3 linked regions of the Mus musculus genome follow. The protein of the gene in region 1 interacts with the protein of each later gene in a pairwise test. Links are inferred from orthologs where the notes say so. Each region holds a gene or a part of one and is shown in the gene's direction. Other genes may lie near its edges.

Region 1 (4,877 bases):
GCCTGCTTGGCTTCCCCCACCTCCACCCCCTTAGTCCTCTCCTCTGCGCCAGGAAAAGGGCAGGTGGACACATGCAGACACCTGTTAGAACAGGTGTCTGGACGGCCGTGGGAGTTCCTAGACCCTGGTCTTGGGTTCTGGGATCTTCCCTGTGAGGTTGAAACCTTCTCCAGTATCTCCCAGACTCCTCTCTGCGCTCTGGCCCTCCGTTTCTCCCTCCCCTACATCCAAATGTTAGGAAAATAGCTATGAACAGAGGGCGCTTTTGTCTGCGTCGGCCACAGGATCTGGACGGTCCCCTCCCCTGGGCTCTCCACCCCCCCCCCAAACCCCATGCTCTGACAGCCTGTTCCGTGTCCCCCCTTCCTCCAGCGCACAGTACAGAAAAGCGCCAAGTACATCTGCCTGGCAAACAAGGATTGCCCTGTGGACAAGAGGCGGCGGAACCGCTGCCAGTTCTGCCGCTTCCAGAAGTGCCTGGCTGTGGGCATGGTGAAGGAAGGTGGGTGGCAAGATGGTGCCCTCGGCATAGGCGACCTGATGGGGTGGGACAGCCGGGCTCACCAGGATCTGCACCTAATTCCCACTCCCACTTCTAGATTCCAGCCCCTAAATGCAGGTGTAGCTTCCACCTGCTTTCTGGAAAGGGTGGGGTGAGGAGGGCCTTGTGGGGTCCCCATCATGGTCTGAGTTCTCTGTCTCTGACTTCTCAGAAGTGGGGTGTATAGTGTGCCCTGAAGACCCTCCTTCTCCAGGTCTCCTTTCTCAATACTGCCCGTCTCTCTGCAGTTGTACGGACAGACAGCCTAAAAGGGCGGCGGGGCCGGCTACCTTCAAAACCCAAGCAGCCTCCAGATGCCTCCCCTACCAATCTTCTCACTTCCCTCATCCGGGCACACTTGGACTCCGGGCCTAGCACTGCCAAATTGGACTATTCCAAGGTGAGGTCTTGCCCGCCCATCTGCCCTGCCCTGAGAACATATGCAATGCCTTTGTGCCTGTTAGGAAAGGCTCTCCCTCCAGGGCAACATCAGGAAACAAGCATCCTCTATGTACTGGCTAGTTGGAGAAATGCATTGGGATGGGTGTGGGGTCGGGGAGCCAGTTACAAACAGCTGCCGTAGCCCTGTTTTCCTGTGGGAATTGACAAGCACATGGGCCCAGAATAGGGCTCTTTTGCACGCCTGGATCTGGTGTCCCAGTGCATGAGAGCTCTGTAATGCAGCTTGTGTAGGCTTTGCTGTGGACCCAATGCAGGACACAGCTGTGTGATGCAGGCCTTGCTGTGGAGCCAGTGCGTGACACAGCTGTGTGGTGCAGGCCCTCATGTGGAACTTACCTGCGTTCCTTTCAGTTCCAGGAACTGGTGCTGCCCCGCTTCGGGAAGGAAGATGCCGGTGACGTGCAACAATTTTATGACTTGCTCTCTGGTTCCCTGGACGTTATCCGAAAGTGGGCAGAAAAAATCCCTGGCTTCATTGAGCTTTGCCCAGGAGACCAAGACCTGTTGCTAGAGTCTGCCTTCCTGGAACTCTTCATCCTCCGCCTGGCATACCGGTAAGCTGCCCACCATCCTCCTAGCCCTGGCCCCAGCCCTGCGGCCCCGGCCTGCCTGGACCCTGAGTCCTGACTGTTCTCTGCCTTCTGCCAGATCTAAACCCGGTGAGGGGAAGCTCATCTTCTGCTCAGGCCTGGTACTACACCAGCTGCAGTGTGCCCGTGGCTTTGGTGATTGGATTGACAACATCCTGGCCTTCTCACGGTCCCTGCACAGCTTGGGTGTTGATGTTCCCGCCTTTGCCTGCCTGTCCGCTCTGGTCCTCATCACTGGTGAGTGGCAGAAACTAGACTGGGCCCAAGGGTTGCAGGACCATTGGGTAGGTAGCATCTAACACTTTGGGGACCCCTAGAGTGCCTGCAACATTGGGATGTTAGGACCTGCAAAGGGACTTAGCTCTATTCGCCCCTAAAGCTTAAATCAGCCTCCGAATGACCCCGGACTCCTCAGGTACGACTGTAGGCGCTGGGCATCTAGCTTAGGGATTCTGTTTGTTTAAAAACCTAGCTGTCAACCTCACAAGACACAGGAACGTGCACACATGAATTTTTCACATTCTGCGCTTGGATAGCTATCGCCATGGTCCAGAAACAGGACCTACTTCAGCTCTGTTGGGCTCCCTCCTTATTGTCTCTGTAAGAGGTAACCACTCTGCCAGCCTCAGTGGCATTCCTGTCATGGATTTTACTGTGCGTATCACAGGGTATGGACTCTAGTGTTAAATGTAGAGGTTTCTGGGTCCCTTCTGCTTCCGCTCCCATTTCCACTTAAATTTCTTAGGGGATCCTCCTGAGTAGATCAAGACCAGGAGCTGGATCTTGAAAGGGTAGGGAGTGATATCTACACCCAGCTCGTCCTTAGTCTGTCCTGCGAGACTCCAGGATTTTAGAACAGTGTGGAGCCTGGACCTCCAGAAAACCTGGATTAGGCTTTTGCCTTGGCCAGCCATTCAGTGGTTTCAAATATTGACCAGTCTGGACAGTGGGCTCCTGTGGGACGTGCTAGAGGGCTGGGGAAGCTTGTCAGGGAGAAGGCGTCAACTGAGCGGGGCTGACTCTACCTTCCCTGCTGCAGATCGACACGGGCTCCAGGACCCTCGTCGGGTGGAAGAGCTGCAGAATCGCATTGCTAGCTGTCTGAAGGAGCACATGGCTACCGTGGCAGGAGACCCACAGCCGGCCAGCTGCCTGTCACGTCTGCTGGGCAAACTGCCTGAGCTTCGGACCCTGTGCACTCAAGGCCTGCAGCGCATCTTTTGCCTCAAGTTGGAGGACTTGGTACCCCCTCCACCTATTGTGGACAAGATCTTTATGGACACATTGTCTTTCTGACCCCTGCCCTGAACATGTGTGCGCACACGTGCGTGCTCTTCTGTCACCCATGTGCCTTTAAGCCTATAGCCCACGGACCCCCAGACCACCCTACCCCCAGCCTGGTTTTGAGCTAAGACTGACGTACCTCCTCACTCCAGAAGATGGACAGAGAACTCAAGACCTGGGGGAGGGTGTGTATTCACGGGGGTGACCCCACTATTTGTCTTATCCCTCCAGCTCAGTCCTGGCCTTCGTGTGTTTTTGTAAGATAAACCATTTTTAACACATACCACTCTGTTGTAAATAAGCTGACGCTACTGTAAATACAGAAAGGAAGAGGTTGAGATGGGGGTTGGGAGGAAGGGGTGGGGCTCCCACCAGCTGGGCGAGCCTCCAACTCGAGATCTCTTCCGCTCTCCTTCCATGTGTACATAACTGTCACTCAAGAAGGTGATTGACAGATTCTGATTTATATTTGTGTATTTTCCTGGATTTATAGGATGTGACTTTTCTGATTAATATATTTAATATATTGAATAAAAAATAGACATGTAGTTGAAATTGAGTCTTTTTTTCTGTTTTTGTTTTTTGTTTTTTTTTTTTTGTTTTTGTTTTTGTTTTTTTGTTTTGTTTTTCGAGACAGGGTTTCTCTGTATAGCCCTGGCTGTCCTGGAGCTCACTTTGTAGACCAGGCTGGCCTCGAACTCAGAAATCCGCCTGCCTCTGCCTCCCGAGTGCTGGGATTAAAGGCGTGCACCACCATGCCTGGCTTTTTCTGACAGCACTAGACATTTTGCCATGATTATATAAGAGACAGCAGTAGCCCTGGGCAAATCTTAGCTGTTGCCAGTGATCTGGTCAGCCTGGGTTACTTACCTGTAGGTGATAGGTCATGATGAAGCCTGCTTCATGCAGCCATTTAGGAGAACTCTGGGACTAGCTTGCCTTTCTCACACAAACACCTGTCTCACCATGGTGCCCGGATGGTTTAGACTTGCTGTGTAGCTTGGCTAGTTTCAAGCTGTCAGTCTTCCTATCTCCACTTCCTGAGTGTTGGGATTATAGATGTTCACCCTACACATGCATCGGGAGCTAGTTCCTAATGTGGGAAGCCTCTGGTTACCGCTGGCTGCCAGACCTCAGTGGACAGCGGCTAACCCAGGGACTAGAGCAGCAAGATAGACCTGGCCTTGGGTCTCAGGTCTGTCTCTTAGCCTTCTGACCTGGGGATAAATAAAGGACAATTTATGAATTAGAACTATTTTTTAAGTATTTAAAAAAATATCTATTGGCACACATCTTTAATCCCAGTACTCGGGAGGCGGAGGCAGGCACATCTCTGAGTTTGTGGCTAGCCTGATCTACAAATAGAGTTCCAGGCCAACCAAGGCTACATGGAGAAACCCTGTGTTGAAAAAAATAGTGTACTCAAGTACATGTGTGTGTATATATGTGTGCGCACACGTGCCATTGCAAGCGTGTGGAAGTTAAAAGACAAGTTGTAGAAGCCAGGTCTGTCCTGCTTTGAGAGACGTTAGATCATCCAGCTTAGTAGAAAGCACTTTCACCTCCCGAGTCCCCTCACCAGTTCCGTTTTATTTTGGGGTGATGGAGTGGGAGGGGTGATGCTGAGGTCTCCCAGACACCCCACAAGCACTCTACCACTAGGCCAGGCTTCTCACTTCTCGGTTTGCACATTTGTAAGAACAGAAAGAGGAATAGACCTAGCCTTTTAGTATCAGAGAGAGTTTTGATGTGTGGTGAGTCTAAAAACTACTAGCTGATGTTCATGTGGGTTTTGTTGGATCTATATTCTTAGAGTCCCCCTACTGTCTGCCAACCCCAGGAGCAGGATCTATGCAGCCAACAGTCCTTGGATTCTTGGCAGGTAGATTGTTCTGAAGTGATTACCAGTACCCAAGGGTCCTATCCAACTCTCTAGCTCCTGTGTTTATCTGCCTCTCCCTTGGGGGCTTAGAGGCAAGGTTCTGGCACTATACCTCAGT
Region 2 (6,433 bases), on another chromosome or scaffold:
GTCACCCAGAGAATTGAAAGGAGTCCAACACAGGTGTAGACCACGTAAACAGCCTGGTGTAGTGACTGAGGGCTTATTTAAGTTACCAGTCAGAGGGAAGAAAGTGAATAGGATTGGGGCTTTCACTGTGAGATCCATAGTGGACCCTGCTAGTAGATACCCATGGCAATATCAGATAGGGAGTCCACAAGGATATATTGAAACTTTGGCAATCATACAAAGGTATGCACTTTCCCCACAACGTCTGGACTATGTAGGGCCCCCATTAGAAGTCAAAAAACAATATTTGAACAATATCTAGACACTTAGGTGACCAGTGATTAATATTTGTGATATTGTAGATTTCAGAACACTCCCTCTGTGTCTGATAGCATTGCATTTTTAATATTGGTAACCAACTCTAACTGTAAGGTGGGTGCCTTGAGGGTCAGGCCCCTACTTCAATATTTCTGGTGGATACTACTATGACAGCATAATGACTGCTCAAATGTCATTGGCTGAAGGCCTCAGGGCAGGCAGCACTCAAAATGCCAGTCACCAAGAGATTTCAGATCACCTGAAGGACAGAGAGAGAGTAGGTGCCAGGGAGGTGACCAACCTGGTCACTCTCCCCAGTGGGCTGGTGAGTGGTCCCTGGTACCAACTGGGACATCTCAACTTAGCCTAAGATAAAAGAGGTGTAGGGATATATATATATATATATCACTCTTTCCCAGCTTTTTAAACTAATTTCAAACTTAGAGCCACAGCTCAGGGCCTCCAATTTACTAGGGTTAGTGGCTATTTTACAGCCTCCATGGATCACCGTTGCCGTTCACGTGGCATGAGCCACAGTCGAGTCTCTGGATCTCATATCCGAACTCCCAGGGTCCCACTTCCGTTCCATGTTGAGCAGGAGGCTAGGGAAGGAGAAGAATGGGAACGAGAGCTACCTCGTCAGAGGCCTATCATCTACGGACCTCCAGAAAGCGAAGAGTTACAGGAAACTGTAATGAGTAAGCATATTCTCCGAGGGGCGGGGGGAGGGGGCTTCTGGGAACTGAAATATCCTGGACATATGCTTTAAGACTGAGTGAGCTCTGCTGCATCCTGACCTGTGGCACCGCATTTGGTTTTAAAACATACATACCTGGGACACACTTAAGTCACCAAACCGCCCGCTTACCCTATAATTCCTACTGGAAGAGAAAGGCTAGCCAGGAGATACCACTTTTCAGATTAGACCCTTTTATCTCTTGAGTTTTCACCAAACTGAAAAAGACTATGTCTAGAGAGAGAAGTCACGGAGTTTAGTAATAGATCGCTGTAAGGAAAAGAATATTGTTCTAATAGTCATAAAGTATATGTCAATTAAGCTTTGGGAAAGTATGGTTTGAAGGGATTAACGGATCGAACGTGTAGAGGAAGGGAGAGCAGACATAATAACGGTCCATAGTCAGAGGTTTTATATTCAAGATGGGATTAGGGAGCTCGAAAGATGACTCAGAAGTTAAGAGCACTGGACGCTCTTCCAGAGGACAAAGGTTTGATTTCCAGCACCCTCGTGGCAGCTCTCAATTGTCTGTAACTTCTGTTCCAGGGGATCTTTCAATGTCCTCCCCTGGCTTTTATGAATAGCAGGCACACAAGCAGTGAACAGACATATAGACAAAAAAAATTTAAATAGTAATTTTTCAAAACAGGATGAACAGGGTGTAAATCAGTTATGGTTTGGAGTTCATGAAGGCAGCACTAGGGCTGAGGGAGCAGACAGGTGACGTCACAATTCAGTCTGACAAGCTAAAGTGGGACTGAGCCCCTAGGCGCTGGGGCAATAACTCAAGGGCGGCTGGGCATGCCCTAGTGTATCATAGGTAGGAGAGGCAAGGCAGCAGAGGAAGAGGGCTCGATGGGTAATGGGTAGTTATGCTGTGCTATGAGGGGTGACTACGAACTTTACAGCTCTTGACTGGAAAAGCAAATCTTTGAAGCAAAATTAATTCCCCCAAACTTCTTTTTGCCTGTTGGAGGAAAATAAATGGTTAGCTATTTGCTCTCAAGTTTTTCTGGGACTGAAAAGAGCTGAAAAGATGAGTCCTGGCACTGTACAGGCAAATCACTCCGGAGGTTCAGGGGACACATACATGTCTGTTAAGTTCAGCAATTTTGTAGTGTCCATGGCCTAACCCACCCACCCCCTGCCCCCAGCCTCCTAAACCTAGAGTAATCAACAGGCCAAATATAGTCAACCAGTATATTTCAAAATAACTGTTTTGGGTGTTTCCCCATAAAAAGGTAAATGAGTTGGTGACTACATTCCATGTTATATTCATTCAGATGGTGCCCTGTAAGTGCATACAAGTATGATCTGTCAAAAACAAAAACAAAATGAGATGCATGAAAGTGACCTTAATTAGAAGTATAAATTGTGGTGGCACACGCCTTTAATCCCCAGCACTCAGGGAGGCAGGGATAAGTAGATCTCTGCTTGGTCTACAGAGCAAGTTCCAGGGCAGCCAGGGCTACACAGAGAAACCCTGTCTCAAAATAACCACGAAAAGTCTACATTTTAAGTCCTTCACAGGCACATAGGTTAGTGTGAACTTGTGAGGGGATGATGTGAGGGGTAGGGAAGCTCTGTTACAGAGATGGACTTGGAAGTACACCTTCAAGGACAGGGACAGTCAGTGCTCTGGAGATCAGTCACTAGGCACCCGTGCAAACTTCTTTTGTTAAATTGGGAAAACACTTCAGCTTGGCTCTCCTTTTGACGCAGGCGCAGAAGCCCACTGGGGGGGGCGGAGCTTGCGCCCACGTGGCGGAGGGGCGGAGTGGGGCGGAGCAAGTCTCGCGAGGCCGCGCCCTTGGTCGCGCGGTCTCCAGCGCGCCGTTTTAGCTGGCTGCCTGGCGGCAGGGGACTCTGTGCTTTAGCAGAGGGACGTGTTTTCGCGCTTGCTTGGTCATGGAGGCGCGGTCCAAGCTGCTGGACGGGACCACGGCGTCCCGTCGCTGGACCCGAAAGCTGGTGTTGCTCCTGCCGCCGCTGCTGCTGTTCCTGTTGCGGACCGAATCTCTGCAAGGCTTGGAGAGTGATGAACGGTTCCGGACCCGCGAAAATGAGTGCCACTTCTACGCTGGTGGACAAGTGTACCCCGGGGAGGCGTCCCGGGTTTCAGTCGCGGATCACTCCCTGCATCTAAGCAAAGCCAAGAGTAGGTGGTGCCTTGCGAGTTTGGGTGGAGGAGGTAGAACTCGAGGAATCTTAGACCCTAATTGTGGATGCTACAAAAGGGTGGGGCTGGAGTTGGGCCGCACCCCCCCCCCAAGGCTGCCTGGGAGTTCTCGGTCCACCCCATGCCTTTGTGGGTGTGAGGTTGGAGGTGGGTTCCTGGTGTGAAGAAAGAAATGGGTTTCTCTGAACAGATTTCGGGAGAGGTAGCGGTTACCCCCAAAGCCGCAGATGGGGGTGTTTCTAGACCCGGGCTTACAGTCGTGGAGGATGTTGTGCAAACTAAAATACTTCCTTACATATTCGAAAGTGCCTGCAGCCGTCCTATCTCTTTTTTCCAGGGAAGAAAGTACATTGATAAGTTGAATAATGATTCACAGAAAGTTTGGTTAAACAGAAAAGTGGTTAAACAAAATGGTCAGGAGGTCAAACTTTTTTTCTCTTAGCTTATAAAGATTGTTATTGAGAGTCATCTCCCCAAACTTTGTAGAGTTAATAGATGTTTATTTAAAAAAAAAAAAACAAGTCTTATGGAGTATTTTGGAGGGAAACTGGGGAAGAGGCGGAAGAGGCACAGTTGGGTTGGTGGTAAATCTTGTGTACTGCCAATTGGGCTTTTCATTATTTGTCTTTCTGTCTAGTGTTTGAAGCTAGTGGCCACTCTCAGAAAAAGACACGTCAGACTAAGAAGATAGTGAGAAAATTGAGGCCTGCTGCATCTGGATATTAAGATTGCCAAAAAAGTGATCAGGGGACACAGACACAGACCATATATTATTTGCTTTTCCCTAACCCACTTTTCCTAGGGATTATTTGGCATTCTGTGAGTGTGTGTTTGAGTTTTGGTGGTTGTGGCACATTCTGTGCTAGTATTCAGTGAAACAATAGTTATACTTAACATTTTGGGGTCAATTTTTTGGACATGGGGACTGGACAGATCTGACAAAATGGCTTCAAATTCTGTAGTCCTCCTCCTTCAGCTTGCAGAGTGCTGGATTCCAATTGTGCTCTACCACATCTGGCTACTTCACAGTTATGAACCTCTAAAGATAATGGGATGTTGCTACCACAAGCCATAAATGAAAAAGCCAAGCCGATTTGCCTCCGTAAACATTTGTAGTTTCATAGTACAAGTTAACTACTTTGGAATTGGAAGATAGATTTGCTTTAAAAATATTTCTAAGTTTCATTGACTACACTTGCATGAGGAAGATATTCTGAAATGTGCTTACTCAAATACACTTCCTGTTAGAAACAAAAACATTCCAAAGGAGATTTTTGTATTCATAAAAGGGGATATTGTAGAACAATTAAGGCTATTTTTGAATCATTCTAATAAAATGAAAAATATTATAATACATTTTTCTCAATGCAATGAGTGTTAAAAATGAGAATGCAACCTTATCCATATTTGTGTTTGGGAAAAAATGGTTGTAGTTTGAGAGACAGAACATGTAAATTGTCTTCCTTTACTTCTCTGTATTTACCAGAATTCTTATTATCAGGGTTGGGTTTGTTTGTTTGTTTTTTGTTTTTGTTTTTGTTTTTTGAGACAGGTTTTCTCTGTATAGCCCTGGCTGTCCTGGAACTCACTTTGTAGACCAGGCTGGCCTCGAACTCAGAAATCCACCTGCCTCTGCCTCCTGAGTGCTGGGATCAAAGGCGTGCGCCACCACGCCCGGCATAATCAGGGTTGTTAAGGATGTGCTAAGCGTGTTAGGAAGTGTTGCTTGCTCTGTTGAGACAGGGTTTCACTACCAGGTAGCCCTGGCTGTCCTGGAACTCTCTATGTAGACCAATCTGGCCTCGAACTCATAGAGACACACCTGCCACCTCTTTAATTCCTCCTGAATGATGGAATTAAAGGCATGCATCACCACATTTTAAAAAGTAGATGCAAAGGGCTGCTTTGAGAATTGTGTTTAAAGATCTTAGCAAAGTAACTACAATTTTTCAATCAAAAATAAAAATTTGCAATAATCAATTTTCAGGATAAGATTTTTCCTGACATGGTTTTCAGTATATGTAAAATCTTTAAGTAGTGTCATAACAAGTCATTACAGTTATTATAACCTCCTATTTAAGCATTTGAAGTATTGTATATTTTAGCACATTTCTAATTTTCTCATCTGGCCTTTTTTTCTTAACAAATTTTGATTATTTAGGTAGTTTTGACTCAAGGTAAGAAATCACATGTTATAGATTAACTTCAGGAAAATTCGTCCTCAGTTTGTCTCTGTAGTGTGATTTATTGCTGGCTTTTACACAAAAGAATGAGCGTTGATTTTTAGAAACCTTAGTCCAACTTGGAAGCAAGTATTGATCTCATTATATGTAATGGGTTTGGAAGTGTTATATGACTGTATCAATAGCAAGAGTGGACATAATTATCAAACGGTGCTGGCTAGAGTCACAGCATGCCCTTATAAGACAGCAGCACTATTAAATTGACATCAGGTCACTCGAAACCTGTTCATGGTTGGGGCGATGTCTCCTTTTTCACAGCCTTCTAGGGAAACTCCCATGATCTGGGATAATTTGAAGAAGCTAGAGTGAAATATCCAGTCCGGTTCAGTGCAGGGATAAGATTTAAGACTTTGTGGGATGGGCAGAGACATATTTCACATTTTATTCTGTCTAATGTTTGTTAATACAGTAACCATAAAAAATTCTATATAAAAAGTATTTTCACTGTTTCCTCCTATTACAGATATGTGCAATAACTCACACTCGCTCCAGAAGTACTTGATTGTACCTGTTGCCCCTGCATTGCAGAGACTTTCGTGCTGTGTAATAGCTATTGCAGGAATCCTGACAATGATATCTTACAGACTTATACGATCACTCCTACATCTTGCACCTTGATGGTGCTGTGACTAAACACACATTATTACTCCATCACTAACTTTTAAAATGTTTATACTCACATTTCTGTGTAATTGGTTTCCTTTGTAATTCTTTGTATCTTTTTATTCTCTGACAATAAGTTATTGTTCTAAGTTCTCAGAAGTCTGTGAGCTTCCAGACTTCCAATGAAGTTCAAAGATTTAGAAGTCCCAATTTTTAGTGTTTTTCTAAAACAGTCCTTGGCCATTCCAACAACTTTCTCAGTGTTATAGACCCTTGTTTTTCTTTCTTAGTCTCCAAGCCAGCACCTTATTGGGAAGGAACAGCTGTGATTAACGGAGAATTCAAGGAGCTCAAACTGACTGACTATCGTGGGAA
Region 3 (6,337 bases), on another chromosome or scaffold:
CACCTCAGGAGCTGTGTCTGTGGGATGGGACAGATGGCCACCTCAGGAGCTGTGTCTGTGGGCTGAGAGAGATGGCCACCTCAGGAGCTGTGTCTGTGGGCTGAGAGAGATGGCCACCTCAGGAGCTGTGTCTGTGGGATGGGACAGATGGCCACCTCAGGAGCTGTGTCTGTGGGCTGAGAGAGATGGCCACCTCAGGAGCTGTGTCTGTGGGCTGAGAGAGATGGCCACCTCAGGAGCTGTGTCTGTGGGATGGGACAGATGGCCACCTCAGGAGCTGTGTCTGTGGGCTGAGAGAGATGGCCACCTCAGGAGCTGTGTCTGTGGGCTGAGAGAGATGGCCACCTCAGGAGCTGTGTCTGTGGGATGGGACAGATGGCCACTTCAGGAGCTTCTTGGTAAAACTTACCTCCCAGAACCACATGGCAGACCTGGTCAGGCCGAGTTTCTGTTCAACAAGGACTGCTTAACCTGAGCTAGACCATGATTCTTTTCTCAGTAATTAACATTTCTAGCTTTAGTCTATTTTGAGGGGGAGGGATTATTTTCATTTGTTTTCGAGACAGGGTTTCTTTGTGTAGCCCGAACTGTGCTGGAACTCACTTTGTGGACCCGACTTGCATTGAACTCAAAGATTCGTCTGCCTCTGGGAATGAAGGCCTGAGACACAACATTCCCCCCCACCCCCCACCCCCACCCCATAGGCTTTAGTCTATAGACGTGGTGGCAGAGACCTGTAATCCCAGCACTCAGGAGATAGAGGCAGGATGATCAGGAATTTGAGATTAGTCTAGATGTAGTAAATTTGAGGCCAGCCTAAGCTATAAAAGACCTTGTCTCAATAAAAAAAATGTTAGGGGCAGTAGCTTATAGATCAGTTAGTAGAGTGATTTCGTCACCTCCATGAAGCCCTGGGCTCCATGTACAGCACTACATGGACTGTACCATAGTAGCACTTGGGAGTGGCATTCAGAGGCTCGGGTGTTATCCTTGGCTACATATTGCAATTGGAGTCCAGCCTGGGCTATATAAGACCCTTAAAAAAGAAAAAAAAGAAAACCTTAAAAGATAATTGCCGGGCTGGTGAGATGGTTCAGCGGGTAAGAGCACCTGACTGCTCTTCCGAAGGTCCGGAGTTCAAATCCCGGCAACCACATGGTGGCTCACAATCTGTAACAAGATCTGACGCCCTCTTCTGGAGTGTCTGAGGACAGCTACAGTGTACTTGCATATAATAAATAAATAAATCTTTAAAAAAAAAAAAAAAAAGACAATTGCCAGACTGGAGAAATGAGATGGCTCACCAGTTAAGAGCACTGGCTTCTTGCTCCTCCAAAGGACCTGGGTTTAATTCCCAGCACCCACATGGCAGCTCAGTTCTAGATTCGGCACCCTCACACAGACATGCATGCAGGCAAAACAGCAATGCACATAAAAAATAAAAAGGAGTCAGGCAGTAGTGGGGCACGCCTTTAATACTATGCACTTGGGAGGCAAAGGCAGGCAGGTGAAGAACAGTCTGGCCTACATAGGGAGTTCTAGGACAGCCAGAATTACATACTAAGACCCTATCTTGAAAAACGTAGAAAAATCTAAAAGAGAATTATTACAATATGTGGCTATTTGATTGTCTATATGTGCACCATGTTGGTATAGGTCAGAAGAGGGTGTTGGATCTCTGAAGCTGGAGTTACTGATGGCTAAACTGTCACATGGTTGCTGATATTGAATCCTAAATCTTCTACAAAAGCATTGATCCATCTTTCAGGTTCTATAAATAAATAAATAAATAAATAAATAAATAAATAAATAAGTAAATAAATTAAAGGAGACCATCTTGGTAGCCCATTCCTTTAATCCCAGCACGAATGGCAGAGGAGGCAGGTGGATTTTGAGTTCAAACAGATCAAATAAGTTTCAGGCCAGCCAAGGCTACACAGAGAGACCCTGCCGCAGAAACATAAAAACAAACAAAAGTCGGGCGGTGGTGGCCTTTAATCCCAGCATTTGGGAGGCAGAGGCAGGCGGATTTTTGAGTTCGAGGCCAGCCTGGTCTACAGAGTGAGTTCCAGGACAGCCGGGGATACACAGAGAAACCCTGTCTCGAAAAAACCAAAACCAGCCAACCAAACAAAAATGTTAGAAGGCACCGCGCTTTACCACTCAGAAGCCGTTCCTTTAACCCAGCAGTCGAATGAATGAACTAAGCTCCGAGTTTCACAGTAAGAGCTTGCTTATTAGCATTTCCGCGGTCCGTGAATGACTAAAATGTTCCAGTTATAGGAGTTTCCAGTCCTGCCTCCCTTCCTCCCGGAGGCGCTAAAGATCCAAGATGGGCCCGCGCCAGCCTGTCTCCAGCCTCTCCGCTGGGGTCAGTTAAACCTCCTCCTCTTTCCCGCCCGCCCGCCGGTTTTGAAAAACCAAAATTCCTGCTGTGGCGGGCAGCTCCACTGGTCGCTGCACGCTGACCAATCAGGAGCCACGCCACTGCTACGGGAGAGACAAACCTCCCCAGCAACGCGTGCTGATTGGCTGTTATTCCCAGCAGGCGGGACTAATGGAGGTCGGGCTCTGGGCAAAGTGGCTCTCGCTACTCTGTTGCGAGTTTGTAAGAAAACAAGGGCGCTCTGGGCGGGGCCTGGGGCGGGCTTGCCTCGCCCACTAGCGGCTGACTCTGGCGGCCAGTACAGTGCCGGCTCAGAGCAGACCCCGCCCGCGCAAGGAAAGGAGGGAGGGTGAGTCTGGGGAGACCCGGCCCAAGGGGCGGGCGCCGAAGGGCTGGGCGGGGTTCCCCGCTGCCTCTCTCGGTGACAGGGGGAGGAGCTAGCTGCGAGCGCTGGGGTCGTACGGGCGGAGGGCGCAGGCTCTGAGGCCGGCAAATGATCATAGAGTTGGCCCTGGTGGCACCGCAGTCCCTAGAGTTCTGATCCAGCTCTTGCTGGTTCCCCAGCCCTGACCTTAACTGGGCTTGGGGCTGGGTGGGTTTCACAGTCCACCGGTATCCACTATGCTTCTGGAAGAAGTCTGCGTCGGCGACCGGTTGAGTGGCGCAGCGGCCCGTGGCGACGTGCAAGAGGTCCGCCGCCTTCTTCACCGGGAGCTGGTGCATCCTGACGCCCTGAACCGCTTTGGCAAGACGGCCTTGCAGGTGAGGCCTGGCTGGCACCCGGCCCCCACACCCCATCCCTACAAGTCTCCTGACCCGGGTTGGTGATCCCTTAAGGTTTAGTCCTTGCTTGCTCTGATGTTGGGTGGGTGGTGAGGATGCGATGGGGGAGGGGATGGCTTTTCAGCTCTTGTCTAATAGCCTGACAGATTCAGTTTCCCTGCAGACCTTTATTCTGTGGGTTCATCTTCTTTTCGTGCCAGTCCTTGAGGACAGCTCATATTTCTTGAGGCTCCTTAAAGATATTCGATCTCTGGAAGATGGCATGCATGTCTTCTCCAAGGGAGATAGCCTTTTTTTTTTTTTTTTTTGAGGTGCCCTCTTGAAGGATCTCTGGTTATTTCAGGGACATCTTCATTTCGGCAGGTGATGTAGATTTTTTCCCCTTTTGTATCTTCTGCGTGCCTAGTAACAAAAACGATTCCTTATTGCTTGAAGGTCCCGTAATTTGGGTGGCATTTATAGGAGAGTCCCACCTTTTCATGGGTACTCATACATTCTGAAGATCATGCCTATGTCTAAGGAAGTTATTTCTCGACAAAGGGGATCCAAATTGTCTAGAGCATCTCTTTCTCAAAAATTCTATGTAGTTCCCAGATTGTAGTGTTGAAGGGGCTTTACAGCCCTAATGATATGGGACTGCTCTGGCCTCAAAGAGGCTTTAGACGCCTTCCTGGTTCTCTCTCTCTCTCTCTCTCTTCAAGACAGGGTTTTTCAGTGTAGCCCTGGCTGTCCTGAAACTCACTCTGTAGACCAGGCTGGCCTTGAACACAGAAATCTGCCTGCCTCTGCCTCCCGAGTGCTGGGATTAAAGGCGTGCGCCACCACTGCCTGGCCCGGTTCCCTTTCTCATCCATTCTCTTTACTTCTCTTGCTTCTTCATTTTCTTTTTTTATTTCTGAGACAAAGTCTCACTTTGCATCTCAGACTGGCCTTGAACTTGAGACTGTCCTCCTGCCTGAGCCTCTGAGGTCCTGGGATTATGAAAGCGTCACTATGCCTGGCTTTTTAATGTTTTCATGAGAGTCACTTTTATAGTTAGGGCTTTTTGTTGTTGTGTTGTTGTTCTTAAGAGAACTTTGGGCTACACAGTAGTGACACAAATTAATCCAGCACTTAATCTTTAATCCCAGCACTTGGGAGGCAGATGCAGGTGGATCTCTGAGAATTTGAGACCAACCTGGTCTACAGAGAGAATTCCAGGACATCCAGAAAGACATCCTGTCTCCGACAAGGATGGGGGTGGGGCTTAGAAGGTGTGTGTGTGGGGGTGTCCTTATTTTCAAAGAACCTGTTCTCTGGGGTCCCAGTCTGATCCCTTGGGTCCTGACTTTCCTGGGGGCGTCCCCATTCCCTAAGGATCCCTTCTCTGTGCTCTGGATTTGTGGTAGACCTCTTTATTCTACCTGACCCTTCTCCAATGGGAACCTCCTGACTTTCTCCTCCCCACCCCCATAGGTCATGATGTTTGGAAGTCCAGCAGTTGCTTTGGAGCTCCTGAAGCAAGGTGCCAGCCCCAATGTCCAAGATGCCTCCGGTACTAGTCCTGTGCATGATGCGGCTCGCACCGGGTTCCTGGACACCCTGAAGGTTCTGGTGGAGCATGGTGCTGATGTCAATGCCCTGGACAGCACTGGGTCGCTCCCCATCCATCTGGCGATAAGAGAGGGCCATAGCTCCGTGGTCAGCTTCCTAGCTCCTGAATCTGATCTCCACCACAGGGACGCTTCCGGTCTCACTCCCCTGGAGTTGGCTCGGCAGAGAGGGGCTCAGAACCTCATGGACATTCTGCAGGGGCACATGATGATCCCAATGTGACCCAAGGCCACTGTCTCCAGCCTTACTGGGTTACTTGTCAACAAAAGAGGAAAGAAACTTTCTCTTTTCACACCTGTCCATTGAAGAAGGGAGTGGGAGGAGCAGTTTGTGGTTTATTGGTGTTGATTTCTTGAGTGTGTGTGTTTGGGGGGTGTTTCTCATTTGTTTTTCTCACCCCTTTTGGTGTGTTGGACAAAGAAGGGGCTCCTACAGGCAACAGCCATCTAAACGGTTCAGTTTCCTCTGCACTGGGGCTGCACCAGGGCAGGGGTTTAAAGCCCTAGCCTCAGAGTGAGGTCATCACTTCCCGGGCCCCTTGGAAGCTGGTGACCTTGGCAGGCTGTGCTCAGAGAGCCCTGAAGTGTGAGCCATCTACTTTGGGCATGTGAGGGGGAAGGGAAAGCATTTCAAATCAATTAAAAGGATAACATGAGTTCATTTTTCTTTCTTGGAAGGTTTCCAGTCTGTTGTACAGAGTTTGAAATATAAATATTTATTGCTTTATGGAAAGAAATTGTTTTGTGTGATTATTTTATGTTTTGGCCCATTAAACTAAGACAGCGATGATGACTTCAGATTTAGGAGTCTGGAATGGGGTGGGTATTCGGAGGGTAGGATGGGACTATGGATGGTGTAGGGTGCTGGGGTTGTCGACACGGTCATTCCCAGGGCGTCAGGGTAACTGAGTTGGGTGGGGCAGCGGTCGGGTGCTGTCGGAACGGAAGAGAGGCAGGAAACCGCGAGTGTAGAAAGGGGCCCCCAGATGTCAGCTGGGTGCCGGGAGCCGTCAGGGTGGAGAAGGGTGGGCGGTGGCTTGTGGCCTTTCCCCGCAGAGGCTTGTCCCGGTGGGTGTGGCCTGCTGAGCAAAAGGCCTACGGGATCCTGGAAGAACGGAGGGTGGAGCAAACTGCGTCTGCAGTGGACATGCTCCTTAAGAAAAGCCCTCAGGGGGCGTGCCGGAGAGAAGCCACACCCCGGAGGGGCGGTTGCACGCGTGCGCGCTAGGTCTCACAGCCGCCATGCCGGAACCGCGCGCCTCTGGGTGCCTAAAGGTGAACGCAGCGTTTGCTGCGCGCTACAGCCGTTACCGCGAGCGTGAGGAACTTCAGCGACGTGAGTGAGGGGCGCCTGCGCAGGCCAAGGTGTGGGGAACTGGGTCTGGTGATGGTAGCTATGAGGAACCCCGTGTATATTCCACAGTGAAAGATCGCTATGGAGATCCGGACGTCGGTGGCGACTCCAGTTCCGAGTCTGACTCCAGCGATGAGCATGTGGTGAGCTTCCGCAACCCGGCTTCGCGTCCTACCCATGTACATGGGGCTTTCCCTAACCGGGCTTGGTTGTCCCGGAGTC

The links.
Region 2: the proteins of Nr4a1 (region 1) and Prdx4 interact in a two-hybrid assay, tested with the Homo sapiens proteins (2 studies listed by BioGRID and IntAct). The link is inferred for Mus musculus from reciprocal best matches to the Homo sapiens genes NR4A1 and PRDX4.
Region 3: the proteins of Nr4a1 (region 1) and Cdkn2d interact in binary tests that used the Homo sapiens proteins (3 or more experiments, as listed by UniProt). The two-hybrid records come from large-scale screens. The link is inferred for Mus musculus from reciprocal best matches to the Homo sapiens genes NR4A1 and CDKN2D.

Annotation. Positions count from the first base shown.
Region 1 is NC_000081.6:101,271,364-101,276,240, forward strand, and holds the end of Nr4a1 (nuclear receptor subfamily 4 group A member 1), read left to right. Parts: intron 1-372; coding exon 373-502; intron 503-789; coding exon 790-941; intron 942-1,354; coding exon 1,355-1,557; intron 1,558-1,651; coding exon 1,652-1,830; intron 1,831-2,632; coding exon 2,633-2,889; 3' UTR 2,890-3,432; downstream 3,433-4,877. UniProt on the Homo sapiens protein: Orphan nuclear receptor. Binds the NGFI-B response element (NBRE) 5'-AAAGGTCA-3'. Binds 9-cis-retinoic acid outside of its ligand-binding (NR LBD) domain.
Region 2 is NC_000086.7:155,334,871-155,341,303, reverse strand, and holds the start of Prdx4 (peroxiredoxin-4 isoform 2 precursor), read left to right. Parts: upstream 1-2,843; 5' UTR 2,844-2,941; coding exon 2,942-3,191; intron 3,192-6,348; coding exon 6,349-6,433. UniProt on the Homo sapiens protein: Thiol-specific peroxidase that catalyzes the reduction of hydrogen peroxide and organic hydroperoxides to water and alcohols, respectively.
Region 3 is NC_000075.6:21,287,620-21,293,956, reverse strand, and holds Cdkn2d (cyclin-dependent kinase 4 inhibitor D), read left to right. Parts: upstream 1-2,747; 5' UTR 2,748-3,007; coding exon 3,008-3,148; intron 3,149-4,624; coding exon 4,625-4,984; 3' UTR 4,985-5,494; downstream 5,495-6,337. Other genes in the region: protein KRI1 homolog, read left to right, coding at 6,004-6,097, 6,185-6,258. UniProt on the Homo sapiens protein: Interacts strongly with CDK4 and CDK6 and inhibits them.